Anolis sagrei: one gene and its partner. The protein of the gene in region 2 interacts with the protein of the main gene of each other region in a pairwise test. Links are inferred from orthologs where the notes say so. Each region holds a gene or a part of one and is shown on either strand. Other genes may lie near its edges. The genes, in order: EHD1 and RBSN.

Region 1 (16,260 bases), on a different chromosome or scaffold from region 2:
AACTTCTGAGGGCTGGACGTCTAAACAAAGTAACTTCCATGGTATGGGGGGGAGGTCCTAAAAAGTAATTTCCATGGGATAGGAGTCTTAAAAAGTAACTTCCAAGGGCTGAAGGTTTTAAAAAAGTAACTTCCATGGGATAGGAGTCCTAAAGAGTAATTTCCAAGGGCTGGAAGTATGAAAAAAGTAACTTCCATGGGATGGGGGGGTCATAAAAACTAACTTCCAAGGGCTGGAGGTCTTAAAAAAGTAACTTTCATGGGACGGGGGGGGGGGGGGTTCATAAAAACTAACTTCCAAGGGCTGGAGGTCTAAAAAAAGTAACTTTCATGGGATGGGAGTCCTAAAAAGTAACTTTCAAGAGCTGGAAGTCTGGTAAAAGTATCTCCCATGGGCTGGAGGTCTGAAAAAAGGAACTTCCAAGGGCTGAAGGTCTAAAAAAAGTAACTTCCAAGGGATAGGAGTCCTAAAAAGTAACTTCCAAGGGCTGAAGGTCTTTAAAAAGTAACTTCCAAGAGCTGGAAGTCTGATAAAAATATCTCCCATGGGCTGGAGATCTAAAAAAAGTAGATTCCAAGGAATTGGGGGGGGGGGGGGGAGTCCTAAAAAGTAACTTCTAAGGGATGGAAGTCTTAAAAAGTAGCTTCTAAGAGATGGAGGTCTGAAAAAGTAACTTCTAAGGGCTGGAGGTCTAAAAAAGTAACTTCCAAGGGATAGGTGGTCTATAAAAAGTAACTTCCAAGAGATGGGGGCCCTAAAAAGTAACTTCTAAGAGATGGAGGTCTGAAAAAAGTAACTTCCAAGAGCTGGAAGTCTGATAAAAGTATCTCCCATAGGCTGGAGGTCTGAAAAAAGTAGATTCCAAGGGATGGGGTTCTGAAAAAGTAACTTCTAAAGGATGGAGTTCTGAAAAAAAGTAACTTCTAAGGGATGGGGGTCCAAAAAGAGGAGCTTCCAAGGGATGGGGTTCTGAAAAAGTAACTCCTAAGGGATGGAGTTCAATGGTATGGGGGTCCTAAAAAGTAATATGCAAGGGGAGAGGCCTAAAAAACTTCCATAGGATAGGAGTCCTAAAAAGTAACTTCCAAGAGATGGTGTTCCTAAAAAGTAACTTCTAAAGGATTTAGGTCTGAAAAAAGTAAACTTCCAATTGCTGGAGTCTGAAAAGAGTAAACTTCCAAGAGGTGGGGTTCCTAAAAAGTAACTTCCAAGGGATGTGGGGTCCTAAAAAGTAACTTCTAAGGGATGGAGATCTAAAAAAGTAACTTCCAAGAGATGGGGGCCCTAAAAAGTAACTTCTAAGAGATGGAGGTCTGAAAAAAGTAACTTCCAAGGGATAGGAGGTCTATAAAAAGTAACTTCCAAGGGTGGAGTTCCTAAAAAGTAATTTCCAAGAGCTGGAAGTCTGATAAAAGTAACTTCCAAGGGATAGGAGGTCTATAAAAAGTAACTTCCAAGAGATGGGGTTCCTAAAAAGTAACTTTAAGGGCTGGAGGTCTAAAATAGTAACTTCCAAGGGATGGGGGTCTAAAAAAGTAACTTCCAAGGGATAGAGGTCTTAAAAAGTACCTTCTAAGGGATGGAGATCTAAAAAAGTAACTTCCAAGAGATGGGGGCCCTAAAAAGTAACTTCTAAGGCATGGAGGTCTGAAAAAAGTGACTTCCAAGGGAGGCCTGGGCCAACTTGGGCCTTCGAGGTGTTTTGGACTTCAACTCCCACAAGGCCTAGCGGCCCAGGACCCTTCCTCTGGAAGGGTCCTGGCCCGCTAGGCCTTGTGGGAGTTGAAGTCCAAAACATTGAAGAGCAGGCCCAAGCCTTGTGGGAGTCTCACCTGTTGAGGAAGGCGTTCCCGAAGGCGCCGAGCTTGCGGAAGGGGCGCCGGGGGTCGACGACGAGGGCGTTCCCGGGCACGACGCCCTCGGCCTCCCCGCCCATGACGGCGATGAAGGAGTCTGTGGTGGGCTCGGGCCCGATGCGCATGCCGGGGAAGTCCTGCTCGAGCAGGTGGCGGATGAAGGTGGTCTTCCCGGTGGAGTACTGGCCCACCAGCAGCACCATCGGCTTGCTCTCCCAGTCCGCGCCCTCCAGCGCCGGGGAGTGGAACTCGTGGAAGCGGTACTGCTCCTCCAGCGGGAGCAGCTTCCCCGCGTACAGCTGCCGCAGACCCTCCGACACCGTGCGGAACAGCTCCGGCTCCTTGCGACGGCGCGCGTCCCGGCTCACCCAGCTGAACATCGTCGAGCCCCCCACTGAGGGAAGGAAATAACACCACTGTCTCACTCACTCACTCGCCGGAGCTCCTCCGCCCGCGGCGCCTCACGCCTCACTGGACGCACGCCGCCGAGGGACCTGCCTTTTATAGCGGCCACGCCCCCCTATGCTGATTGGCTCCCCCCTCTCCTCAACGTTCTGTCCCCGCCCATTTCTCCACAGCAGTCAAAGCCCCGCCCCTTGATCCAGCATTTTTGAATCCTTACTCACTGCTCTGACTTCAAGCATGAAAGTCCCCGCCCACTGTTCTGACGTCATTCTTCCCGCCCCTTTGCTAAAACCGGCTGCTGATTGGCTCCCCTTCTCTTCTATGTTCTTCAAAGCCACGCCCATTTATCTACATTTTTAAAATCCCCGCCCACTTCTCTGACGTCATTCCTCCCGCCCAAGGGATGGAAGTTACATGGGAGATAGAAGACCTAAAAAGTAACTTCCAAGGGCTGGAGGTCTAAAAAAGGAACTTTCATGGGATGGAAGGGGGTCATAAAAAGGAACTTTCATGGGATGGGAGTCCTAAAAAGTAACTTCCAGGGGATGGAGGTCTAAAAAAAGTAACTTCTAAGGGATGGAGGTCTTTAAAAAGTAACTTTTATGGGATGGGGGTCCTAAAAATAACTTTCATGAGATGGGAGTCTTAAAAAGTAACTTCCAAGGGAGGAGGTCTTTAAAAAGTAACTTTTATGGGATGGGGGGGTCCTAAAAAGTAACTTCCAAAGGATGGAGGTCTAAACAAAGTAACTTTCATGGAACGAGGGGGTCCTAAAAAGTAACTTCCAAGGGATTTTAAAATCCCCGCCCACTACTCTGACGTCATTCTTCCCGCCCCTTTGCTACAACCGGCTGCTGATTGGCTCCCCTTCTCCTCTATGTTCTTCAAAGCCACGCCCATTTATCTACATTTTTAATCTGACATGCAAGTCCCCGCCCACTTCTTGACGTCATTCTTCCCGCCCCTTTGCTATAACCGGCTGCTGATTGGCTCCCCGTCTCTTCAACATTCTTCAAAGCCCCGCCATTGATTTTAGCATTTTTAAAAACCCCGCCCACTGCTCGGACATGCAAGTCCACGCCCACTTCTCTGACGTCATTCTTCCCGCCCCTTTGCTAAAACCGGCTGCTGATTGGCTCCCCTTCTCCTCAACATTTGTCAAAGCCCCGCCCATTAATTGTACAATCCCCGCCCACTTCTCTGACGTCATTCTTCCCGCCCAAGGGATGTAAGGGGGGGTGCCAAAAAGTAACTTCCATGGGATAGGAGTCCTAAAAAGTAACTTCCAAGGGCTGGAGGTCTTAAAAAGTAATTTTTATGGGATGGGGGTCCTAAAAAAAGTAACTTTTATGGGATAGGAGTCCTAAAAAGTAACTTCCAAGGGATGGAGGTCTAAACAAAGTAACTTTAATGGATGGGTGGTCATAAAAAGTAACTTCCATGGGACAGGAGACCTAAAAAGTAACTTCCAAGGGCTGGAGATCGAAAAAAGTAACTTTCGAGGGATGGAAGGGGGTCCTAAAAAGTAACTTCCATTGGATAGGAGTCCTAAAAATTAATATCCAAGGACTGGAGGGTCTGAAAAAAGGAGTTTCCAAGAGAAGGGGTTCCTAAAAAGTAACTTCCAAGGGCTGGAGATCTTTAAAAAGTAATTTTCATTAGATGGGAGGTCCTAAAAAGCAACTTCCAAGGGATGGAGGTGTAAAAAAGTAACTTTTATGGGATGGGAGTCCTAAAAAGTAATTTCCAAGTGCTGGAGGTCTAAGCAAAGTAACTTTCATGGGATGGGAGTCCTGAAAAGTAACTTCCAAGGGATGGAGGTCTAAAAAAGTAACTTTCATGGGATGGAAGGAGGTCCTAAAAAGCAACTTCCATGGGATAGGAGTCCTAAAAAGTAACTTCCAAGGGCTGGAGGTCTAAAAAAAAGGAACTTTCATGGAATGGGGGGATCCTAAAAAGTAACTTCCATGGAATAGGAGTCCTAAAAAGTAACTTCCAAGGGCTGGATGTCTAAAAAAAGTAACTTCCATGGGCCGGAGGTCTAAAGGAAGTAACTTTCATGGGATGGGGGGACGGGGCCCTAAAAATAACTTTCATGGGATGGGAGTCCTGAAAAGTAACTTCAAAGGGCTGGAGGTCTAAAAAAAATGAACTTCCATGGAAAGGGGGGATCCTAAAATGTAACTTCCAAGGGAATGGGGGGGGGGTCCTAAAAAGTAACTTCCAATGGAATGGGGGGGTCCTAAAAAGTAAGTTCCAATGGAATGGGGGGTCCTAAAAAGTAACTTCCAAGGGAATGGGGGGGTCCTAAAAAGTAACTTCCAAGGGAATGGGGGGATCCTAAAAAGTAACTTCCAATGGAATGGGGGTCCTAAAAAGTAACTTCCAAGGGAATGGGGGGGTCCTAAAAAGTAACTTCCAAGGGAATGGGGGGGTCCTAAAAAGTAACTTCCAATGGAATGGGGGGGGTCCTAAAAAGTAAGTTCCAATGGAATGGGGGGTCCTAAAAAGTAACTTCCAATGGAATGGGGGTCCTAAAATGTAACTTCCAAGGGAATGGGGGGGGGTCCTAAAAAGTAACTTCCAAGGGAATGGGGGGTCCTAAAAAGTAACTTCCAAGGGAATGGGGGTGGTCCTAAAAAGTAACTTCCAAGGGAATGGGGGGGTCCTAAAAAGTAACTTCCAAGAGAATGGGGGGTCCTAAAAAGTAATTCCCAAGGGAATGGGGGGATCCTAAAAAGTAACTTCCAAGGGAATGGGTGGTCCTAAAAAGTAACTTCCAAGGGAATGGGGGTACAAAAAAGTAACTTCCAAGGGAATGGGGGGGGTCCTAAAAAGTAACTTCCAAGGGCTGGAGGTCTGAAAAAAGTAACTTCCAAAGGAATGGGGGGGGTCCTAAAAAGTAACTTCCAAGGGCTGGAGGTCTGAAAAAAGTAACTTCTAAGGGAGGCCTGGGCCAAGAGGTGTCTACAGACAACAGGCTCCTTGGCTTGGAAATGGAACGCGAGCGCCTCCTCCTGGCCAGAGTTGAGCACTGCCTTCAGCACGCCGGAAATGAAAGGGGAAGCCTTTACCTTTGTGTATTTGTCATATCATCGCTATTCCGCTGTATTCAAGCCTTGACTGGCTTTTTCTAATATTTTCACAAACCCCGATGACATCTAGACACTTGATAATCCAAGAATATACACAGAAAGGCAAACTTTCAATGCCTTGGAGACAGTGGAATAACAATAACATGTAAATACACAAAGGTAGAGGCTTCCCCTTTCATTTCCGGCTTATTATTGGAATAGAATGAGTATTATTGGAATCGGTAGTTCACCCCATTGAATTCCTACTGAAACACACAAATTCGGAGGGTCACCTGAGGTCCCTTCGTCCATTTCGGCTCCTTCATGTGTTCTTTCAGCATCAGCGGTTGAGCCGGAACCCGGCTTCTTTGTGAACAGGGCCGGGTTCTAGAACCGGGGTTCTAGAACCTTGAGAATTTCCTTCCCTTCTTCGCATGAGAGGTGTTTTGGACTTCCAACTCCCAGAATGACTACTACAACTAATAATCATCATCATAATTAATAATCATAATAATAATTAATAATAATAATTACTACTACTACTACAACTAAGAGGTGTTTTGGACTTCCAACTCCCAGAATTACTACTACTAATAATAATCATCATAATTAATAATAATAAATAATAATAATAATAATTACTACTACTACTACAACTAAGAGGTGTTTTGGACTTCCAACTCCCAGAATTACTACTACTACTAATAATAATAATAATAATTAATAATAATAATTACTACTACTACTACAACTAAGAGGTGTTTTGGACTTCCAACTCCCAGAATTACTACTACTAATAATAATAATAATAATAATTAATAATAATAATTACTACTACTACTACAACTAAGAGGTGTTTTGGACTTCCAACTCCCAGAATTACTACTACTAATCATCATCATCATCATAATTAATAATAATAATTAATAATAATAATTACTACTACTACTACAACTAAGAGGTGTTTTGGACTTCCAACTCCCAGAATTACTACTACAACTAATAATAATAATCATAATTAATAATAATAATAATAATAATAATTACTACTACTACTACTGATGCAGAGCATCTCCCCCCCCCCCCCCCCAAGTATTTGAAGTTCGCCAAGGGCCGGAAAATGGATTCTGCTGCTTCCTGACCCAGCGCACATAACTGGGTTCCTGTTTCCTCTCTGTGAATTCTCTGGCTTGTGCACTGGACCCTGGCCCCTGATCAGGGAAATGTAGTTCTCCAAAGGACATTGCCCCACTCTCCACCATTTGCGGACTCTTTGCGAACCTTTCTGCCCTCACTGATTGACTTAATGCCCTAGCATCACGGACTTCCTCCCTGAACTCCAAAAGCCAAGCCGCTTCTGAAGTATGGCCCCCGCCTGTGGGTGCATGCCCTTGTTGCAAAGGATCATACCTCAGGAACTCTGCTGATTGCCTTTATTAATTGCTGTGGGTTTTCTAATAAACTTCGCTGGGATGGGGATCTTTCCTATGAAATCTATGAGTTATGAAAGACTGTGAAGAATATATATATGAAGTATATGATATGTAATGAGGTGAAATGAAATAAGATGTACCCTCACCCCTCTCCTTGCCTTCCCCCTCTTGAACTTTACCCTATAAAAGAATATGTGACCTGGGGATTACAGTTAAGGAAATCCAATTTCCTTGGAAGAAACTCCATCCATACTGACAATGCATGGACAAATGCTGGCAAATCTATGGCTTTGTTTTTCAGAGTCAGACAAACAAGGGCCAGAGATTTTGTCAGCCAAAAGCCCGGAAAAACAGACTGATTAAATCAATCATGGTGCTTGTGTATGCTCCCTTGTGTCAAAGGATTTCCTTTGCCTACAGGGTTGAGATCCAGACACCACCCATAGCCACCCTTTTTGCCTATACACATCTTTTATCAGGACCCAGGAAATCCCTTGTTCTCCCCATCCGCCTCCCTGCCGGGAAGAGACAAAAGGTGTTCCATCAGCTGGCAGACGCCTCCCAGGCATTCCGCCCCTCTGCGCTGTCAAACTAGAGCCCGCCTCCTGGCCGCTGATTGGACAATCTCCGGAGGCGCTCCGAGGGCTCTGATTGGTCCTCTGGAGGCAACAGCGGCCGGCGATTGGAGGGAGGGTGGGACCAGCAACCAAGCCTCCTCCCAGCTGTTCCGGGGCCGGCCAATCAGGACAGAGGGAACTGACAGGAGGCGGGCGGGGGATTCAAACCGGGATTTCTTTGTTTTGCCTGTATAAATATGCCTGAAATTCACTGTACTGTATGCTTATAGAGGAAATATCCCTGTAATGCATCCTTTTCAGCTGAATCGCAAAATAAACGCTTCAGTCACTGGATACCTCTTCAGCCTCTGGTGGGATTAATTCTTAATATTTTTGCGCTTTGGATTGGCTTTTGCTGGCAGCTCACCAAGGTCAAAGATCCCTTTTGCGATCTCCAGGGATCTTCCCTGCTGGGAAGACCCTCCCAAAAGAGCTCGATATCACTACTACAACTAATGACATTTTTATAAATAAATTAATAATGATAAAGGTAAAAAAATAATCCATTCTTTTTGTAAATAAATAAATAATAAAAATAATTAAATAATAATAATAATAATGGTAAATTTAATGAATTCTTTTAATTAATAAATATATAACAATAAAGGTAAAAATAATCAATTCTTTTTATAAATAAATAATAAAAGTAAATAAATTCTTTTAATAAATAATAATAATAATAATAATGGTAAATATAATGAATTCTTCTTATAAATAAATCAATAATGATAAAGGTAAAAAATAATAAATTCTTTTTATAAATAAATAATAATAAAAGTAAATAGAATAAATTCTTTATTATAAATAAATAAATAATGTTAAAGGTAAAAGTAATGAATTCTTTTTATACATAAATTAATAATAATAATGGTAAAAATAATGAATTCTTTTTATACATAAAATAATAATAATAATAATGGTAAAATAATAATTTATTTTTATAAATAAATAATAATAAAGACAAAAGTAACGAATTCTTCTTGAATTGCCTCCAGAACATGGCCATATAGCCCGGAAAAACCTACAATAACCCAATAATAATAATGGTAAATATAATAAATGCTTTTAAATAAATAAATAAATAATAACAACAAAGGTAAAAATAATAAATTCTTTTAATAAAAATAATAATAAATAAAGGTAAAAATAAGGAATACTTTTAATTAATAAATAATAATAATAATAAAGGTAGAAATAATGAATTCTTTTTATAAATAAATAAAAATAAAGGTAAAAATAATGAATTCTTTTTATAAATAAATAAACAAATAAAGGTAAAAAATAAATTCTTTTGATAATTAAATATAAATCATAATAAAAATAATTAAAATAATTAAAAATCCTTTTTTATAAATAAATAAATTAATAATAATAATAATAATAAAGGTAAAAATAATAATTAATTTTAACATAAATAAATAAATAATGATAAAGGTAAAAATAATAAATTATTTTGATAATTAAAAAATAATAATAATAATAATAAATTAAATATTCCCTTTTTAAATAAGTAAATAAATAAAATAATCATAATAAAGGTCAAAATAACAAAGCTACACATCCCAAGATCTTATGGCAGTTAAAGTGGTGGCAAAACCGCATTAATGCAAGCGTGTGGGTGCTTCCTACACTCTTTCCAATAGTATTTCCAATATTAAACCCATATTGGAAATACTCTTTTTCCTCTCGTTACTTTAGTGATAGCACTATATTTCCCCTTTTTGCTGCTAAGGCCGAAATCTCACAATGACAGCTTTGTAAACAACGTCTCTCTACAGCCTGAAGTCATATGAGTTGGTTTGCATCAAAGAGGGCCATTCTTCTCAGATAGCAAGGGTGACACTTTCTCGGCCCCAAAAAGTCCCATGACAGACGACTCTGCGAGGAAACAAAAATTATCTCATTATATATTATAAATATATATTCTATATTATAAATATTATTATTTTATTTATTTTATCATATATTATTATATTATATAGAATAATATATAATAATAATAATATGTGAAAATATGTATGTGTTTCCTCCACCACAGACATCCCAGTGTAAACATGTCCAACAGCCCTGCCAATGTCCTCCACCAACACCATACTTCCCACCACTTAAGTAAAGGCTTTCATTTGGGCACAATTCCATCCTAGATTATATGTGTTTCCTCCACCACAGACATCACAGTGTAAACATGTCCAAGAGCCCTGCCAATGTCCTCCACCAACACCATACTTCCCACCACTTAAGTAAAGGCTTTCATTTGGGCACAATTCCATCCTAGATTATATGTGTTTCCTCCACCACAGACATCCCAGTGTAAACATGTCCAAGAGCCCTGCCAATGTCCTCCACCAACACCACACTGCCCACCACTTAAGTAAAGGCTTTCATTCGGGGATAATTTCATACTAGATTGTATGTGTTTCCTCCACCACAGACACCCCAGTGTAAACATGTCCAAGAGCCCTGCCAATGTCCTCCACCAACACCACATGGCCCACCACCAAAGGGAAGGCTTCCATTTGGGGACAATTCCATCCTAGATTGCATGTGTTTCCTCCACCACAGACATCCCAGTGTAAACATGTCCAACAGCCCTGCCAATGTCCTCCACCAACACCACACTGCCCATCACCCAAGTGAAGGCTTTCATATGGAGACAATTCCATCCTAGATTGTATGTGTTTCCTCCACCGCAGACATCCCAGTGTAAACATGTCCAAGAGCCCTGCCAATGTCCTCCACCAACACCATCCTGTACACCACCCAAGGAAAGGCTTTCATACAGGGACAATTCCATCCTAGATTGTATGTGTTTCCTCCACCACAGACATCCCAGTGTAAGCATGTCCAAGAGCCCTGTCAATGTCCTCCACCAACGCCACACTCCCCACCACCCAAGGGAAGGCTTTCATTCAGGGACAATTCAATCCTAGATTGTATGTGTTTCCTCCACCGCAGACACCCCAGTGTAAACATATCCAAGAGCCCTGCCAATGTCCTCCACCAACACCACACTGCCCACCACCCACATGAAGGCTTTCATTCGGGGACAATTCCATCCTAGATTGTATGTGTTTCCTCCACCAAAGACATCCCAGTGTACACATATCTAAGAGCCCTGCCTATGTCATTATATTATATTATATTATATTATATTATTGGCATAGAATAATATCAGCATTATATATCATTATATTTTACTATACCATTATATTGTAATATTATTAGTAATATTACATGCAATATAAATATATATAAGTATAATATCATATTATTATTATGTTGTATTGCATTATAATATTATAAATATTATATGGATATACAATATATTATACTATATTATATTATAAGCATAGTACAATATCAGTGTTATATATCACTAAATTGTATATTATATATTAATAACATAGAACAATATCAATATTATATATTGCTATATTTTATATTATATTAAATTATAATATTGGCATAGTACAATATCAGTAGTATATATCACTAAATTGTATATTATATTATATTATTAGCATAGTATAATATCTGTATTATATATCACTATATTTTACTATACCATTATATTGTGATATTATTAGCAATATTACATGCAATATAAAATATATATAATTATAATATCATATTATTATTATATTGTATTGCATTATAATATTATAAATATTATATGGATATACAACATATTATTAGTAGTATTATATTTATTTATTACTGTTATTTATTTATTATAATGTTATAAATATTATATGTATGCACAATATTATATTATATTATATTGCATTATATTATATTACATTATATTGCATTATATTATATTATATTATATTGCATTATATTATATTATATTATATTATATTGCATTATATTATATTGCATTATATTGCATTATATTGCATTATATTCCATTATATTATATTATATTATATTATATTATATTATATTGTATTATATTGTATTATATTGCATTATATTATATTATATTATATTGCATTATATTATATTATATTACATTATATTGCATATTATATTATATTATATTATATTGCATTATATTATATTATATTATATTATATTGCATTATATTATATTATATTATATTATATTGCATTATATTATATTATATTATATTATTATATTATATTGCATTATATTATATTATATTATATTATATTGCATTATATTGCATTATATTATATTATATTGCATTATATTATATTACATTATATAATATTATATTGCATTATATTATATTATGTTATATTATATTATATTATATTATATTATATTATATTATATTATATTATATTCCATTATATTATATTATATTCCATTATATTATATTATATTATATTATAATCAGAATGGACCTCAAAGCAAAACACTGCCCAAGCCCGCCACCTGGTGGTGAATACCCGCTATAGCAAGCAAGCAACATGCTTATTGATGCTGCCATTGGAAATACACCAACCTGCACATGATGCTCACATGTATGTCTGATGGATTCAAAGCACCTTGGGTGGTCTTGATCTCCCAGAATCCTTTGCAGCACCCACCTACTATAACAGCCCCTCCACTGGAATGGCCAGACTGCTTCCATATGGAGTTGCTGTTACAGCCGATGAGCACCATACGTGTTGGTGGCATTCATGACCTGGAGAAGACGTTCACAACAACAACAACAACAACAACAACAACAAGGATGCTAATGATAATCATAATAATAATAACAACAGCCTGTAGAGTGATCTTGTCTGCTGTGGACTCATCTTGCTGTGTTTCAAATATTAATAATAATAATAATAATAATAATAATAATAATAATAATAATAAAGTATTTGACTCACTTCCCCATTGTTGGATCATCAAATGTCTAGATGTCATCGGGATTTGTGAAAATATCAGACGATCATGCCATCACCGCTCAAGCAGGGAGCTTTGAAATGGCTGAAAAGAAGCTCACCGAAGCTTTAGGTGGTCTTACTGCTTATTACAGGGGAAACCAGCTGATTCCTAATCCATCTACGCAGACGATCATGCCATCACCACCCAAGAAGGAGCTTTGAAGTGGGCAAACAGATGCTCTCTGAAGCTTTAGGTGGTCTTACTGCCTATTACAGGGGAAACCAGCTGATTCCTAATCCATCTATGCAGACGATCATGCCATCACCACCCAAGAAGGAGCTTTGAAGTGGGCAAACAGATGCTCTCTGAAGCTTTAGGTGGTCTTACTGCCTATTACAGGGGAAACCAGCTGATTCCTAATCCATCTACGCAGACGATCATGCCATCACCACCCAAGAAGGAGCTTTGAAGTGGGCAAACAGATGCTCTCTGAAGCTTTAGGTGGTCTTACTGCCTATTACAGGGGAAACCAGCTGATTCCTAATCCATCTATGCAGACGATCATGCCATCACCACCCAAGAAGGAGCTTTGAAGTGGGCAAACAGATGCTCTCTGAAGCTTTAGGTGGTCTTACTGCCTATTACAGGGGAAACCAGCTGATTCCTAATCCATCTACGCAGACGATCATGCCATCACCACCCAAGAAGGAGCTTTGAAGTGGGCAAACAGATGCTCTCTGAAGCTTTAGGTGGTCTTACTGCCTATTACAGGGGAAACCAGCTGATTCCTAATCCATCTATGCAGACGATCATGCCATCACCACCCAAGAAGGAGCTTTGAAGTGGGCAAACAGATGCTCTCTGAAGCTTTAGGTGGTCTTACTGCCTATTACAGGGGAAACCAGCTGATTCCTAATCCATCTACGCAGACGATCATGCCATCACCACCCAAGAAGGAGCTTTGAAGTGGGCAAACAGATGCTCTCTGAAGCTTTAGGTGGTCTTACTGCCTATTACAGGGGAAACCAGCTGATTCCTAATCCATCTACGCAGACGATCATGCCATCACCACCCAAGAAGGAGCTTTGAAGTGGGCAAACAGATGCTCTCTGAAGCTTTAGGTGGTCTTACTGCCTATTACAGGGGAAACCAGCTGATTCCTAATCCATCTATGCAGACGATCATGCCATCACCACCCAAGAAGGAGCTTTGAAGTGGGCAAACAGATGCTCTCTGAAGCTTTAGGTGGTCTTACTGCCTATTACAGGGGAAACCAGCTGATTCCTAATCCATCTACGCAGACGATCATGCCATCACCACCCAAGAAGGAGCTTTGAAGTGGGCAAACAGATGCTCTCTGAAGCTTTAGGTGGTCTTACTGCCTATTACAGGGGAAACCAGCTGATTCCTAATCCATCTATGCTGACGATCGTGCCATCACCACCCAAGAAGGGAGGTTTGAGATGGTTGAACAGAAGCTCTCTGAAGCTTTAGGTGCTCTTACTGCCTATGAGAGAGAAAAACCTGCTAATTCCTAATTCATCTATGCTGACGATCATGCCATCACCACTCATGCCACGATGATCGTGCCATCACCATCTATGCTGACGATCGTGCCATCACCACCCAAGAAGGGAGCTTTGAAATGGTTGAACCAAAGCTCTCTGTAGCTTTAGGCGATCTTACTGCCTATTACAAGGGAAACCAGCTGATTCCTCATCCATCTACGCTGATGATCCTGTCATCACCACCCAAGCAGGGAGCTTTGAAATGGTCGTGCCATCACCATCTATGCTGACGATCGCGCCATCACCACCCAAGAAGGGAGCTTTGAAATGGTTGAACCAAAGCTCTCTGTAGCTTTAGGTGCTCTTACTGCCTATTACAGGGGAAACCAGCTGATTCCTAATCCATCTATGCCGACGATCGTGCCATCACCACTCATGCCACAACAATCATTCCATCACCATCTATGCTGACGATCGTGCCATCACCACTCAAGTGGGGAGCTTTGAAATGGTCGAACAGAAGCTCTCCGAAGCTTTAGGTGTTCTTACTGCCTATTACAGGGAAAACCAGCTGATTCCTAATCTGTCTATGCTGACGATCATGCCATCACCACCCAAGAAGGGAGTTTTGAAATAGTTGAACAGAAGCTCTCTGAAGCTTTGGGTGCTCTTACTGCCTATTACAGGGAACACTAGCCGATTCCTAATCCATCTATGCTGACGATAGTGCTATCACAACCCAAGCAGGGAGCTTTGAAATGGTTGAACAGAAGCTCTCCGAAGTTTTATGTTCTCTTTCTGCGTATTACAGGGGAAACCAGCTGATTCCTCATCCATCTACGCTGATGATTGTGCCATCACCATCTGTGCTGACGATCATGCCATCACCACCCAAGAAGGGAGTTTTGAAATGGTTGAGCAGAAGCTCTCCGAAGTTTTATGTTCTCTTACTGCCTATTACAGGGGAAACCAGCTGATTCCTAATCCATCTATGCTGACGATCGTGTCATCACCACCCAAGAAGGGAGCTTTGAAATGGTTTCTGTTTAGCATTTTAGGTGCTTGTTTCTCCGAGGGTACTAATGTGCGCATGTGGTGCTTTTTGTCATGTCCTTGGGCCCGTACAATAAACTATTTTCGATTGATTGATTGACAAGAAGCACTGCTTGAATACAAAGCAAAAAGTGGGTGCTAGAAATAATATCGTAGGAAAGCTGACTAGCACAACCTGGGGTTCACAACCAGACACAGTTACGGCATCTGCCCTTGCGCTTTGCTACTCTACCTGATATCCGTCGGGAAGTAGCAGCCAGTAATGAAAAGATGAAGCAAGCACACCTGATACAATAAACAAACAAACAAACAATAATCAAATCCTAGCTTAGCAATATTTCCCATCTACACTGTGGAGTTAACCCAGTTTGACGCTACTTTCAATGCAAAGGCTCGCTGGTATGGAACCCTAGGAGGGGGGTTGTTTGGCAGTCTCCCTACGATTCCACACTCATGGTGGTTCAAGTGATACAAAACTGGGTTAACTCTATAGTGCAGACACACCATAGAGAGGATCCAAGCCAAGGAATCGAGGGGCGAAGAGGAGCGGAAGGAGCTCACCTTGAAGCCGGGCCCTTCCAGTCAGAGTTGAACCCCAAGAAAGGCCCGAGGGAGAAGGGACAACATCCTGCCGGCCTTCCTTTGGGAAGTTAATGATTCCCCGGCAGCAAATATTTGATAAGCTGCGCACGGACTCAAAGTTCAACGCAAGGCCGGGCCAGCGGATCCCAGCCCCTTGGCCCACTCGCCCAGACCAGGAATCCTCTCTAGTCATCCTCCGCCGTCCCACTTTCCCAAGACACTCTTAAAACGTCCCGGTTTCCCACTCTCCTCCCACCTTTGGTCCTTTCTTTCTCTCTTTCTTTCCTTTCCTCCCTCCCTCCCTCCCTCTCTTTCTTTCTTTCTTTCTTTCTTTCTTTCTTTCGTTCGTTTCTTTCCTTCTTTCCTCCCTCCCTCTCTTTCTTTCATTCTTTCTTTCTTTCCTTTCCTTTCCTTCCTCCCTCCCTTTTCTTTCTTTCTTTTCTTTCCTCCCTCCCTCCCTCCCTCCCTTTCTTTATTTCTTTCTTTTCTTTTCTTTCCTTCCTTCCTCCCTCTGTCCCTCCCTTTCTATCTTTCTTTCTTTCCTCCCTCCCTCCCTCCCTTTCTTTCTTTCTTTCGTTCGTTCATTCCTTTACTTCCTCCCTCCCTTTCTTTCTTTTCTTTACTTTCTTCCTTCCTTCCTCTTTCGTTCTTTCTTTCTTTCTTCTATTCCATTCTTCCCTCCCTCCTTCCTTCCTTCCCTACCTCCCTCCCTCCCTCCCTTCCTCTTTCATTCTTTCTTTCTTTCTTTCTTTTCCTTCCTTCCTTCCTTTCCTCCCTCCCTCCCTTTCTTTCTTTCTTTCTTTCTTTCTTTTCCTTCCTTCCTTCCTTCCTTCCTTCCTTCCTTTCCTCCCTCTCTTTCTTTCTTTCTTTCTTTCTTTCTTCCT
Region 2 (15,780 bases):
CACAATGCATAGTTATTTCATATGACAACAAGTCATAAATATCGAACACTGTCCCATATTTACTCCTGAAAAATCAGGACAGCTATAGCATTTCTTACTTTTGAGTTGTCCTTTCACATCTTTGTCTTCGATAGAATGTTCTTCTTCATAATGAGACTGAAGTTGATAAAATGACTGCAGGTCCTTCAGACACAGAGGACACAGAAAGCCTTCTCTCACCTCGCCAGGGTCATCAAATGGAGGTGTGTAGCTTGATGCCATAGTGGTCCAAGAATGCCAAGGTCAATGACACTCTCCAGATCTCAGTAGCAGGGGAGCAACAGTATGCCATGCAGCAGGATGACCATGAATTTGGACTAATAATGAGGAAAAAGGCTCTTTGCCTTTTCAATTTGTACAAAAGATTGTCCTGAAAGAGATCCAGATATAAGTTTTAAAAACAGGATAAACTATTTTGCTCAGATTAATCCTTTAAACCATTATCTCCAGTAGTATTATGTTACTATGCTGGAACAACTGCATGGTTTCAAATTAATTACCAACAAAAAAAACCTTTTTATGGATATTTTAAAACTTTACTAAACCTTGTAGAAAAAGTGTAACCCTTAGTGGAGCTCAGGTAGTGTCCCATTAATATGTTTACAGAGAAATTTATTGAATGTGCAAGTGGCTTATTGCTTTCAAGAGAATGTGCATATGATACAACTTGCAGGGCTAGTATGAAACAATCCACAAGAATTGTGTAAAAGATAAAAACAGAAAAGCTATTTAAAATAGACATACGTGGATAAATGAAGACGCATCCAGCAAACATTCCTAGGATGAGCTGGGCCTTTAACCTTGTCTAGTAAACATTCAACATATTTGATCTACTCCAGTTAGGCAACTGGCTATACAAGAAAAACAAATACGTTAGGGTGGGGCAGATCTGTAACTGTAGCAGAAATGAGAGAAATAAATGTGCAGCTGACCAGACAAGAAGAAAGTGTTAGTTGTGCTTTACAAAATTGTCCTTGCACAATATTTGACTATTTTAGCTTCTCCTACTTTATAAATTTATAACTGTTTATGTCACAAACCCACCCATATGCACAATAGGTGAGATTCCAGATCAATCATGCCTAAAGCAAACTTGTTGAAATCAGATGTAAGTCAAATTTAAGACATGTAGATATCAGTGGGTCTTTTCCAAGCGTGGCTAAGCCTTGACTCATCCTAATATTTCCAATTTGGGCATTTCTCCTTATGTCAGAAATCCATTCAATTATACTATTTATTTAACATATTCCTCTTATAAAGAGTAGTCTTTTTACAAGCAAAATAAAAACTGTAAAAGCTGCCATGGATTACAGCATATCCATGATGACGTGCAGATTACTACTGATATGACTTACTATAGCCCTAGAAGAAGTCACAAATTTCACTACAATTCTCTAAATTTCAGAAAAATCAGTCTAGAAAAAAAGAGTACTCCTACACATCACCATCTCAATCAATTTTTTCTTGCTATCCTAAACACATTTCATTTCGTTTTCAAGATACCTGAAGAAATGGCAATATCCTTAAGGTCTTTATTTCTGCAAAACAGGCTATTATGAGCTGAAATATATGGTTCTACATATTTGTAAACTATGCATCTTTACGTTTAATGCATATTGAAAATGTATAAGATAAATATTCTGTTTCCAATTAGTAATAGTGAGATTTAGGGTGTAAAATATAGCTTAGGTCAGTGTTTCTCAAACTGTGCTCCTCCAGGTGTTTTGGACTTCAGCTCCCAGAAATCCCGGCCACCTTACCAGCTGTAAGTGTGGGAGCACAAAAACATTGGGGGGGGGGGGCAGTTTGGGAAACTCTGGTCTAAGTGATTAATTCGAAGGGGGGGGGGGGTTTTACAAGCAATATGCATTTTGATAGAACCAAGCATCAAGCTGGGGTGCCAATTCAGTAGTTTAATACAATTGTAACAGGACAAGTCTTTTGACGTTTTAAAGACAATAGCTGTTACACCCTAAATAGTAACTGCTACCATAGCCTTTGCCTCTTGCATCATCACAGCTTTCTGCAGAGGAAACTTTCTGCCCAATACACAAATCACTGCATACTCACAGCTTTTGACATACTCATATTCTATTAGGCAACCCCTCACAAAATGGTTTTAACAATTACTAAAGAAAGCAGAGTTCTTCTCTTTGCTTTTCTTGATACATCTCTGATCAAATGGAGACAAGGTGGAAGAATAGGTTTTATCACCTTTAAGTAAAAAAAAAATCAAGCAAGAGGAATGTTCAAACCCAACCATCTAATGGCTATATTGCCCTTCTTTCTGAAATGACCCACAGGAAAATGTAAGAAATGTGTCTTTCCGTTTGCCATAGAAAATTATGCAAACCATTTTATCACCCAAATGGGCAACCACTTCAACTTCATTCCTGTCTGGTTAGAATGGAGTACATATCTAATTTAGCAGGTAAAGAGGGAGAATTGAGGCCACACTACACAAACAGGTTTGGGCAACAGCAAATGCAGGTTACCTCCCTTTTTTGTTCAGATAAGATTCCTCCACATGTGCATAACAGAGAGAAATGGGATAGGTGCTATCTCCCCCTAAAGCAGTGGTTCTCAACCTGTGGGTCCCCAGATGTTTTGGCCTTCAACTCCCAGAAATCCTAACAGCTGATAAACTGGCTGGGATTTCTGGGAGTTGTAGGCCAAAATGCCTGGGGACCCACAGGTTGAGAACCACTGCCCTAAAGGCTGGGCAGGAGTGGGGAATGATTTTCTTGTTTCAGTCTTCAGCAGAGTGGAAACTATTTCTGATCTATCAGGCCTTTCTTTTGAAACACATAACTCTCATATCTAATCTCAATTACAAAGACAGAGCAAGAAAGAGCCAATTCACCATTCAAGCTGTAAAATAAATCCCTGATCTAAAAGCCTGCAGTTGCTTCCCCCTGTAACATTTGAGTATGACATGAAAAGTGATATGTCTTTAAGGTCAACTCATTTTCCATGAAAATCCAAACTGCTTCCTCTTCCATAACCTAATTATTGTTATTGTTGCATCAAGAAAGGGGTGTGGTGGGTCTAGAAAACGTGCACAGATTTCAGTGCCTTTTAAATTCACGTAATAAAGATATTATCGACGGGACTGTTCAAAGAAGGCATACATATACATCCTGTGAATGAAAAGGGTGGGAAGGTGAGGATTGCATATGGCTTGAATACGATACCAATATTTGTGTATTTGTGCTATCATTGAGATATCTGCCATCCAGCTGACATGCCTTGCATTTATATTATTATTATTATTATTATTATTATTATTATTATTATTATTATATTTATACTCTGCTTTATCTTCCCTGAAGGGGACTCAAAGCGGCTCTATTTCTATTCTAATTCACATTCTCCTTCCAACCATAGGTATGATTTTGCTTCATGCACTTGATGTAGTGGACTGGAGGGCATGAGAGCTTATGCAGCTTCAGAGTACCTCTACACCAGGCATGGGCAAACTTCGGCCCTCCGGGTGTTCTGAACTTCAACTCCCACAATTCCTAACAACTGAGTGGCTGGGATGCTGTGTGTTTTCTGTGCTGTATGGCCATGTTCCAGAAGCATTCTCTCCTGCATTTTGCCCACATCTAGGGCAGGCATCCTCAGAGGTTGTGAGGTCTGTTGGGAACTAGGCAAATGGGATTTATTTATATATGTCCAGGGTGGGAGAACGAACCCTTGTCTGCTTGAGGCAGGTGTGAATGTTGCAATTGGTGACCTTGATTGGAATTGAACAGCCTTGCAGCCACAAAGCCTGGCTGCTTCCTGTCTGGGGGAATGCTTTGTTGGGAGTTATTAGCTGTCCAGATGTGAGTGAAACTTCAGGAGAGAATGCTTCTGGAACATGGTCATACAGCCCAAAAAAACTCACAACAGCTAAGTGATTCCAGCTATGAAAGTCTTCAACAGCCAACTGGCTGTTAGGAAATGTGAGAGCTGAAGCCCAAAACACCTGGAGGGCCAAAGTTTGCCCATGCCTGGTGTAGAGGTAATCTGAGGTTCGCCCACTAAAACAAATTTGCCCTCTAGTCCACTTCATCAGATGCACGAAGCAAAGACACCATGCTCTATACTGTAGAATTAATGCAGTTTGACACCCCTTTAACTGGCATGAATAATCGCTACAGAAATAGAGGAGCTGCATGTGATTAGGCACCAGCACTCTTTGACAGATACTTCCACTGTTAAGCAGCTCTTGTTGTCAGGAGATTCTTTGTGGGGATCGCAATTTGGCATGGCACCAGTCCTCGGCAAAAGTATGATAGCTAGGACCCTACGCTCGTTGTGCACTGCGGGTCAGAATTCATGAAGGGAACACATGCATGAGACAGCGAGAGGCGCAGCTGCAAGGGAGGGAAGAGGAGGGGTCTACGGATCACACGTCCTGCCCTCCCGGAGCCCCAGCTCCTCCACTGTCAGAAAGTGGGCGGGGGAAAGCACAAGAAGAGGGGAAGGGGGGAATCCACTTGTAAAAACCTTCCCCAGTCGCCAGCACACTTTTCGCCCTTCGAGTTGGGAGCAGTCCAAGCAGACTTCCCTTCATTAATTCTGACGCGCATTGCACAACCAGCATATGGGTCCCAGATATCATACTTTTGCCCAGTCCTCTGTCAGAGATCTTGCAAAACCTTGCAGGTAAAGTGGGGTGAAATGGCATTCATTCGATAATGTGTAGATGTGCTTTCCCTGCCTTCATGAAGCCCTGGCTCCTCCAGTGTCAGAAAGCAGGCGACAGAAAGCATAAGAAGAAGAGAACAAGCCCTATGAGAAGTGGCTTAAGGAGCTGGGCATGTTTAGTCTGAAGAAGAGAAGGCTGAGAGGAGATATGATAGCCATGTATAAATATGTGAGAGGAAGCCACAGGGAGGAGGGAGCAAGCTTGTATTCTGCCTCCTTGGAGACTAGGACGTGGAACAATGGCTTCAAACTACAAGAGAGGAGATTCCATCTGAATATGAGGAAGAACTTCCTGACTGTGAGAGTCGTTCAGCAGTGGAACTCTCTGCCCCGGAGTGTGGTGGAGGCTCCTTCTTTGGAAGCTTTTAAACAGAGGCTGGATGGCCATCTGTCAGGGGTAATTTGAATGCAGTATTCCTGCTTCTTGGCAGGGGGTTTGGAATGGATGGCCCATGAGTTCTCTTCCAACTCTTTGATTCTATGATTCTAGGGGAAGGGGGGGGGGGTCCTGTTCCTTCCGATCTGTTCGCACTAGGGCAGGGGTCCTCAAACTAAGGCCCGGGGGCCAGATGCAGCTCTCCGAGGTAATTTACCTGGCCCTCGCTCAGGGTCCACCTAAGTCTGAAATTACCTGAAAGCACACAATAACAACAATCCTATCTCAAAAGCAGGCCCACACTTCCCATTGAAATACTAATAAGTTTGTATTTGTTAAAATTGTTCTTCATTATAATTATTGTATTGTTTTAAAGTGTATTTTTGCACTACAAATAAGATATGTGCAGTGTGCATAGAAATTCATTCATGTTTTTTTCAAATTATAATCCGGTCCTCCAACAATTTGAGGAACTGTGACCTGGTCCTCTGTTTAAAAAGTTTGAGGACCCCTGCACTAGGGCCTTGTAAAAACCTTCCTCGGTCTTCCCTTCATTAATTCTGACGCACATTGCGCAACCAGCATATGGGTTCCAGCTATACGTAGGGTCCCAGCTATCATACTTTTTGCCCAGTCCTCTGTCAGAGACCTTACAAAACAGACTTGCTTTTCCAAAGTGCTTTTGTAGATTTGCTTTCCAAAGTGCTACGGGGTTCCTTTTTACACTGAAAACAGACAAAGACGCACGCATCATTCAAATACAAACCAAGGTACATTGGGAATGCATTAAAAACTAACACTTAACAGGGTTTGGGGTGAAAGGGGAGAGGATATATTTCAGGTGTGGGCCAACTTGGGCCTTCCAGATGTTTTGGACTCCAACTCCCACCATTCCTGACAGCCTCAGGCCTTTTCCTTTTCCCCCTCAGCCGCATAAGTCCAAAACACCTGGAAGGCCCAAGTTGGCCCATGCCTGATACATGTTTTAGGTCTGGAAGGCATCCTTGTGTCTCCAGCTCTCCTTCCCAACCTTCCCCCCCCCCCCCCAAAAGGCCCATTTTGGCCTTCCTGATCTATGCAATGCCTTTCCATAGGGATTATATAGGTCTGCCTGGAATACCATCAACCACTCCTTCTCTAAAAAGGCCTCCTTGATGTAGTTATCAATAGACTCTCTGCTGCTGCTCCCCCCCCCCCCCAAATGGAAATGCCTTCACCCCCTGAAAACCAAAGCGCCACGGAGGAGGCGGCCCTCACCTGAAGGAGGGAAGGAGGGAGGGAGGAAGGAAGGGGCGGCGGCACTGAAGAAAGCCAGCGAGGCCCGCCCCGACGGACCCGAGGCGCCAGGCCCCACTTGAGGCCCTCCTCAACTGCAAGGAGCAGCAGCAGCAGCAGCAGGCGCCGCCAGTCGAGCGCCGATGGCAGCGAGCGGGTGCGCGCGCAAGAGAGCGGTAGGGGGCGGGGTCGCGGCTGAAGACGACTGAGATTAAGGGGCGGGGCTACAGGGACTGGCGGCGAGGGCCGAGCAATCGATGGGAAGCAAGGCGGCAAAAGGCGGAAGAGGGGATCATAGAATCAAAGAGTTGGAAGAGACCTCATGGGCCATCCAGTCCAACCCCATTCTGCCAAGAAGCAGGAATATTGCATTCAAAGCACCCCCGACAGATGGCCATCCAGCCTCTGTTTAAAAGCTGAGGCTGTCAGGAATGGTGGGAGTTGAAGTCCAAAACACCTGGAAGGCCCAAGTTGGCCCATGCCTGATACAAGATTTGGGTCTGGAAGACATCCTTGTGTCTCCAGCTCTCCTTCCCAACCTGAAGTGGGGACCTCCTTCTCCCCCAAAAAGGCCCATTTTGGGGGGAGCCTCCACCACACTCCGGGGCAGAGAGTTCCACTGCAGAGAGTTCCACTGCTGAACGGCTCTCACAGTCAGGAAGTTCTTCCTCATGTTCAGGTGGAATTTCCTTTCTTGTAGTTTGAAGCCATTGTTCCGCGTCCTCCTCTCCAAGGAAGCAGAAAACAAAGCTTGCTCCCTCCTCTCTGTGGCTTCCTCTCACATATTTATACATGGCTATCATATCCCCTCTCAGCCTTCTCTTCTTCAGGCTAAATATGCCCAGCTCCTTAAGCCGCTCCTCATAGGGCTTGTTCTCCAGACCCTTGATCATTTTAGTCACCCTCCTCTGGACACATTCCAGCTTGTCAATATCTCTCTTGAATTGTGGTGCCCAGAATTGGACACAATATTCCAAGTGTGGTCTAACCAAAGCAGAATAGAGGGGTAGCATTACTTCCCTGGATCTAGACACTATGCTCCTATTGATGCAGGCCAAAATCCCATTGGCTTTTTTTGCCGCCACATCACATTGCTGGCTCATGTTTAACTTGTTGTCCACGAGGACTCCAAGACCTTTTTCACACGTACTGCTCTCGAGCCAGGCATTGTCCCACATTCTGTATCTTTGCATTTCGTTTTTCCTGCCAAAGTGGAGTATCTTGCATTTGTCCCTGTTGAACTTCATTTTGTTAGTTTTGGCCCATCTCTCTAATGTGTCAAGGTCGTTTTGAATCCTGCTCCTGTCCTCTGGAGTATTGGCTATCCCTCCCAATTTGGTGTCGTCTGCAAACTTGATGATCCTGCCTTCTAACCCTTCATCTAAGTCATTAATAAAGATGTTGAACAGGACCGGGCCCAGGACGGAACCCTGCGGCACTCCGCTCGTCACTTCTTTCCAGGATGAAGAGGAAGCATTGGTGAGCACCCTCTGAGTTCGTCCATTTTACCAATTACAGATCCACCTCACCGTAGTTTTGCCTAGCCCACACTGGACTAGTTTGTTGACACTTCCGCTCCAAATTCATGCCGAGCTCCTTAAGCCGCTCCCAGGGTGGGATGTATTCCTTCCCCTGCAAAGGCAGGCCCATTTAAACCACTGCAGTCCTACTTTTCCAGATGCTTTTAATATTCCCCATTTCTCAGAATTTGTTTTTCCAAATTTTGTTACCCAGTTTGTCCCCCCACTTTTCTTTCCCTTTTTATGAAAAATAGAAAGTAGTGGTTATTTTACAAGTATTTTGTGCATCTCACAGTAGGTTCTTCAATCTAAATATATGCAATAAGTACTTTTAAAGCTTTGTAGAGACCAGTATTCCTGGGCACATTATAATATTGTAGGTGGATAGCTCTTTTATTTTCATAGGCTCATATGAAAACTTAGGTCATAATCATCATCTGTTTTATTTATTTATTTTTGTTGTGTCAGGAGCGACCTGAGAAACTGCAAGTCTCTTCTGGTGTGAAAGAACTGGCCATCTGCAAGGATTTGCCCAGGGGATGGCCAGATTTTTTTTTGTTTGGTTGGGGGTTTTTTGGTTTTATTTTGGGGTTTTTTAATGCTTTACCATCCTTATGGGAGGCTTCTCTCATGTCCCCACATGAGGAGCTGGAGCTGATAGGGGGAGCTCATCCATGCTCTTCCTGGATTCAAACCTGAAACCTGTTGCCCCCTTCCACACAGCTATATAAAATCCACATTGAACTGGATTATATGGCAGTGTGGACTCAGATAATCCAGTTCAAAGCAAATATTGTGGATTATCTGCCTTGATATTCTGAGTTATATGGCTCTGTGGAAGCGCCCTAAGTTACAACACAGCAGCCAGGTGTAATGTGTGCTATCTGTGTTTATAGGTTTTTTTTATAGACTACATGTGTTCTGAGAGTGCCTTGTCCATAAAAGTGTTGTCCATAAAAGTGTGGAAGTTGTCCATAGAGTCATGCTGGAGGACCCACGGCCTTTCTACTAGCCCTATATCCTACAATATCAAGGCAGAAATCCCACAACATCTGCTTTAAACTGAGTTATCTGAGTCCACATTCAGATAATGTGGGATTTTCTGCCTTGACATTCTGGGATATAGGGCTGTGTGGAAGGGCCTCTAGAGAAGTTGGCTATAGAATCACACTAGAGGACCTAGCGTTTTCTAAAAAAATCATTTTAAGAAAAGTCATGAATAACACTATGTAACAGAATTTGGAAAAAAAAATCTGTTCCAGGTTTGTTGTTCATTCGTTCAGTCGCTTCTGACTCTTTGTGACCTCATGGACCAGCCCACGCCAGAGCTCCCTGTCGGCCGTCACCACCCCCAGCTCCTTCCAGTCACTTCAAGGATGCCATCCATCCATCTTGCCCTTGGTTGGCCCCTCTTCCTTTTTCCTTCCATTTTCCCCAGCACCATTGTCTTCTCTAAGCTTTCCTGTCTTCTCATTATGTGACCAAAGTACTTCATCTTTGCCTCTAATATCCTTCCCTCCAATGAGCAGTCGGGCTTTATTTCCTGAAGCATGGACTGGTTCGATCATCTCAAGGTCCAAGGCACTCTCAGAACTTTCCTCCAACAGCACAGTTCAAAAGCATCTATCTTCCTTCACTCAGCCTTCCGTATGGTCCAGCTCTCACATCCATAGGTTACTACAGGAAATACCATTGCTTTAACTGCCAGGTTTGAAAGTGTTATTTCCTATTTAATTATGCTGTACTTACTTTGAAAGTAGTTATTATATTCCAGAAATTGTGTCGTTGCCACAATCTGTTGAATTGGTTGAGACTCGATGAGATATTCATTGAAAAACGATAGCAAAATGTGCTACAGGATGTCTCTCTAAAACAGCATTTCTCAACCTGGGGGTTAAGACACCTGGGGGTCTTGAGGGGGTTTCAGAGGGGTTGCCAAAGACCATCAGAAAACATATATTTCTGATGGTCTTAGGAACTCCTTTGGCAGAGAAGGCTGAAGATCTCTCCACCTGTCCTTCTCTTTCTTTTTGGAAACACACAGCAAATCCTTCCACCAAAAGCCCTCTTCCACTGTTATTGGCCAGCCTCTCAGCCAAGGGGAGGGCTGTTTCTGAGACTCCAAGTGGGGAGGGGAGAGCAGGTGTGCTTGGCGCATGGCAGTATGGTGTGCATGTGCAGGTGAGGGAGAGTGTGTGAGGCTGGAAGGAGGCTTGCTCCAGCGAGTCCTTCAAGGCATGAGGGTTCTGTGTGAGAAGTTTGGCCCAATTTAATCGAAAAGGTTCAGAATGCTCTTTGATTGTAGATGAACTATATATCCCAGCAACTGCAACTCCCAAATGTCAAGGTCTACTTTTCCCAAACTCCACTAGTGTTCATGTTTGGATATATTGAGTATTTGTGCCAAGTTTGGTCCAGATCCATCATTGTTTGAATTCACAGTGCTCTCTGGATGTAGGTGAACTACAACTCCAAAACTCAAGGTCATTGCCCACCAACCCCTTCCAGTATTTTCTGTTGGTCATGGGAGTTCTGAGTGCCAAGACTGGTTCAATTCCATCATTGGTAGAGTTCAGAATGCTCTTTGATTTTAGGTTAACTATAAATCCCAGCAACTACAACTACCAAATGACAAAATCAATCCCCACTCTCCAACCCCATCAGTATTCAAATTTGGGTGTATCGGGTATTTGTGCCAAATTTGGTCCAGTATATGAAAATACATGCTGCATGTCAGATATTTACATTGCAGTTCATAACAGTAGCAAAATTACAGTTATAAAGTAGCAATGAAAATAATGTTATGGTTGGGGATCACCACAACATGAGGAACTGTATTAAGGGGTCACAGCATTAGGAAGGTTGAGAACCACTGCTCTCAAACAAAGTTTTTGCAGTTTAATAAACCTTTTCCATGTTTTTATGATATAATCAATTAGGAAATGACATGCACAGCCCAGGAGCACTTATCATGTTACATATGGCCCTTCCACACAGGCATATAACCCAGAATACCAGGTCAGAGAATTCCACCATATCTGCTTTGAACTGGGTTATCTGAGTCCACACTGCCGTATATTCCAGTTCAAAGCAGAAAATGTGGGATTTTATTCAGCTGGGTGGAAGGGGCCTTATTGTAATCAAATCTGCCAAAGTCCAATCCACAGATCTGGAGGGACAATTGTATAGGGGAGATTGTTTTGACTACAGTTGGGGGAATGAGAATAGATCTTACTGAAGTCCATTCCCGGGGCCCATCCACACAGTCCTATATCCCAGAATATAAAGGCAGAAAACCCCACAATATCTGCTTTGAATTGGGTTACCTGAGTCCACACTGCCATATATTCCAGTTCAAAGCAAATCATGTGAGATTTTATTCAGCTGTGTGGAAGGGACCTTAATTTCCCCTGTGACTAATCTGAATATGGCCTAATTGTTTTTAAAAAAAACATTGTTCTTTTCCTTAATATTAAAAGTGCAAGGCTAAGAGCAAATTGTTATTATAACCAGATAAATAAATGGCATAATGATGCCATTAAGAACTTCTGCTTTAGATATTAGATATTGTATGGCTATTTGAAACGTTTATTGTGTACATAATTGCCATTTCTGCTTTGTCCCCAAAGGTACACTAGCTTCTTTTTCTTTTTAAATAGTATCACATTCACCAAAAGGAATAAGTACTTTTGAAGCAAAAGTCTCATCTTTAGTGATTACTCACAAACAATATCGTCTAATAATTTGTCTAGTACAATTACTGAGTGCTCTGATGACATATAGAAGGAGGGCTACTGGAATAAAGGCAGTGTTCCCTCCTGCTTTAAAAAAGGCTGTGTTGAGGCCATTACTGAAATAAGAGTCATGGCACTGAATAACTGCCAACCAATTCCCATTATTCTTTTTTGGGACATGGCCCTGGAGTGCGTTGTTGACTATCAGCTCCAGGGTTCCTGCATGAAACATATTATCTATCAACTCTGGTCTTCCTGGTGTTTTGGACTTCATCTCCCAGAATCCCTCTCCATTGGTCAAGGCAGCAGAAGCTTCTGGGAGTTGGAAGTCCAAAACACCTGGAAGGACTACAATTTGGAGACCACACTGTCTAGATTCACTTCCATCTGGCTTCAGGCCTGGTTATGGGACAAAGCTTTGCTGCCTTCATTGTGTCACGCAAATAAACCTTTTTTATTTTTCTGGTCTATGCCTTGGATTGGGTCGATCTGAACTAGTAGAACCTCATGGACAGGATGCCGATGGTATTATTCTGGATCAATTCACCTAACATTTCAGAAATGGATCCCTGGAAATGCCTTGTGATAATTTTATGAAGTGGTGCATTCATATACAGCACAAACTCTTTATCCACCGATTCAATAGCCACAGTCACTTATCCGTGCTCCAAAAAATACATGTTTACTACTGGGAGGAGAGCAATGACCAATCTCGATAAAATAGTGAAGAGTAGAGACATCACACTGGCAACCAAGATCTGCATAGCTAAAGCAATGGTATTCCCTGTAGTAACCTATGGATGCGAAAGCTGGACCATAATAAGGAAGAGTGAGCAAAGGAAGATAGACGTTTTTGAACTGTGGCGCTTGAGGAAAATTCTGAGAATACCTTGGACTGCAAGAAGATCAAACCAGTCTGTACTCCAGGAAATAAAGCCCAACCACTCACTGGAGGGAAGAGTATTGGAGGCAAAGATGGAGTATTTTGGCCACATAATGAGAAGACAGGAAAGCTTGAAGAAGACAATGAAAATGGAAAATTGAAGGAAAAAGGAAGAGGGGCTGACCAAGGACAAGATGGATGGAGGGATGGATGGTATCCTTGAAGTGACTGGCTTGACTCTGAAGGAACTGGGGGCGGCCACAGCCGACAGAGAACTCTCGCATGGGCTGGTCCATGAGGTCACGAAGAGTCAGAAGCGAACAAATAAACAACAGCAATATCTTCTATTGTGACTGTATGGTATAATCAAAATATTGGGTTCACTATTACCCATTATTTCAGGTATCGTTGGATCATCTTGAAATGTATCCTCTCTGGAGGGTACAACAAAAATATGCAGAAGCATCAACATATCTGTGTTCAATTTTATATTATGTTATTTTGCTTTGTTTACTTTATTTTGCTATTGTATGTATTTTATTGTGACATGATTTTTGTTGTTTGCATATTTATTTTATTTTACTATGTTGTATCTTTGAGCTTGGCCTCATGTTAGCTGCCCTGAGTCCCCCTCAGGGAGATGGTGGCGGGGCATAAATAAAGATGATGATGATGATGAATATTATTACTATCTTTGTTGAAGGAAACCATTGTGAAGGGAGGAATCTCAAGGAGCCAAGTGAAGTTGGAGCACTTTTGATGGGCATAAAACACTGACTTGCCTATTGGAGGGAAATAGATGGAAACAATGAGGCAGTGAGATAGAAAAGAGAGCTTAGCTGCTTGAAAAGTGGATGGAAGCACTCCACAGTGAAACAGTTTGTTGCAGGTTGCACTTGTAAAGAAAAATAGTTTATAAGATTCAGCAACAAAAGCAATATGGAAGCAGTGTTGTTTTAAAAAGGGTCATAATTTTGCTTTGGCTCATACAATTGTGTCGTTGGGTACTTCCGAAATAAACAGCCAGATTGTAGCTGAGGCCACTAAACATTGCCAGACTAAATCAAAATGCTATTTGTTTTGAAAAATAAGGTTTCATGTTTACTAATCATGAGATTTGAATCTAAGAGGTGGGGTTGGGACGAACTGTGCTAGATTTATTCCTATAAATTCTAGGCAAATCTTAGAACTTGGCACAAGATAAAAAGAAAAGCGCTGGATTCACTTGATACTGTAATTATCATTATTACTATACATACTCTGCAATTAACAGTATTGGTAACCGTGCAATTGGTATCCTTCCCGTACCAATTGCCCTGCGTTCTGGGCAAGAATTTTGTTGGGATCACAGCTGCAGAGGGCAAGGTTGGGATCTCTCAGTGCCCAGCTATTCATATGAAATGTAGAACAAGTTCACGTATTATTAAAGTGGTCTTCCCCCGCCCCACACACCCTACTTAACCTAGGTGCAACTTCCAACAGTACAATAAAAGTAACATCCTTTTTGGTTCTCCAACAATGGGACTGCAGTAATAAGTTGAAACCATCTGTTACACAATGGAGTAGTTCAGCATTCTGCAGTGCTATCCTTGTGTAGTCATACCTTTGGGAATTTAACTGCATAAGGGATACTTATGAGTGAGGAGGAGTAAATAAAGTATATATATTCCGAAGGAGTAGATGTCACTTTCCCAAAGGAGCTGAATACTGCTATTAAAATGTATTGTAAGCAGTACAAAATGTTCATCCATGACATGAGTCACTGAATAAGAACAATGTTCTATGTAAATTCACCCAGGTTTTCTATCAAGCGCACGTTGTTTTAACAAAGTGTTCTTTCGCCCGACCCAAACTAGCAGTTTCAGAGTGCTTCAGTGAAAGAATTTCAGCATGAAATTGAGTATGTCTTCTGAAACTAAATTAATATATGAATGACTGTTGTTGATTTTTAACAACTGTGGATGGCAATTAATTAAGAGAGCAAAGTTGGTTGCAGAAGCTTTTATAGAGTAAAATCCTTATCAGACTACACCTTTATAGCACTATTAGTCTATTTTAACTTCCAGGCCAACATCCTACAGAATCCCAGAAGTTACAGTTTAGGAAGAAGTATTTAGAATTCTCACCCAGGGAGCTCTTGGACCTCACTAAACTACAAACTCCAGAATCCCATGGGATGCAGTATGGTCATTAAAGTGGAATACTATTTATTTATTTATTTATTTATTTATTTATTTATTTACTAGCCATCCCCTGTCACGCGTTGCTGTGGCCCAGTGTAGTGATCTGGAAAATAAAGCAATGCTTGTGGGTAAACAGTATTTTTTGTTGTTTCTTTGTCAGTGTTGATGTGGAGAGTGTCTGGTTTGCCTACTCTGGAACATGCAACATATCATAGTCCTTCTTTAGGGGTCCATTTCAAATCTATGATACTATATCTGTGTGTGAGAATCATTATCTCTCTCTCTCTCTCTCTATCTATCTATCTATCTATCTATCTATCTCTCTATTTATCTTTATGACTGGATGGCTCTTTGTCAGGAGGGCTCTGATTACATTTTCTTGCCCTGGTGAAGAGAGTTGGACTGGGTGGCCTTAAATATTTTCTGTTGGTCATGGGCGTTCTGTGTGGGAAGTTTGCCCCAATTCTGTCGTTCGTGGGGTTCAGAATGCTCTTTGATTGTAGGTGAACTGTGAATCCCAGTGACTACAACTCCCAAATGTCAAGGCCTATTTCCCCCAAACTTCATCTTTGTTCATATTTGGGCGTATTCTTGTGCCAAGTTTGGTCCAGATCCATCATTGTTTGAGTCCACAGTGCTCTCTAGATGTAGGTGAACTACAACTCCAAAACCCAAGGTCAATGCCCACCAAACCCTTCCAATATTTTCTGTTGCACATGGGAGTTCTGTGTGCCAAGTTTGGTTCAATTCCATAATTAATGGAGTTCAGAATGCTCTTTGATTGTAGGTGAACTATAAATCCCAGCAACTACAACTCCCAAATGACAAAATCAATCTCATTAGGAAATAAGTTAAGTCCACTTCTTAATGATCTGAGAGTTATCAGGGCTTTAAAACACAGTTGGACAAGGCAGGTTGTAGTCACTAGGTGGTGCAATTAGAACATCTGACTTGTCTTTTGTATCACAAGAGAGGCAACTAGTCTGAGAGATGCAAGTGCCTTTTTGCAACTGAACAGATGTAGATGAGCAATGTCTCAGTTCATAGTTCACTAATATTCCTTCTCTTTTAA

The links.
Region 1: the proteins of RBSN (region 2) and EHD1 interact in binary tests that used the Homo sapiens proteins (3 or more experiments, as listed by UniProt). The link is inferred for Anolis sagrei from reciprocal best matches to the Homo sapiens genes RBSN and EHD1.

Annotation. Positions count from the first base shown.
Region 1 is NC_090032.1:20,357,935-20,374,194, reverse strand, and holds the start of EHD1 (EH domain-containing protein 1), read right to left. Parts: upstream 5,834-16,260; 5' UTR 5,648-5,833; coding exon 5,629-5,647; intron 2,251-5,628; coding exon 1,833-2,250; intron 1-1,832. UniProt on the Homo sapiens protein: ATP- and membrane-binding protein that controls membrane reorganization/tubulation upon ATP hydrolysis. In vitro causes vesiculation of endocytic membranes. Acts in early endocytic membrane fusion and membrane trafficking of recycling endosomes.
Region 2 is NC_090022.1:50,744,588-50,760,367, reverse strand, and holds the start of RBSN (rabenosyn-5), read right to left. Parts: upstream 6,532-15,780; 5' UTR 6,371-6,531; intron 410-6,370; 5' UTR 262-409; coding exon 99-261; intron 1-98. UniProt on the Homo sapiens protein: Rab4/Rab5 effector protein acting in early endocytic membrane fusion and membrane trafficking of recycling endosomes. Required for endosome fusion either homotypically or with clathrin coated vesicles.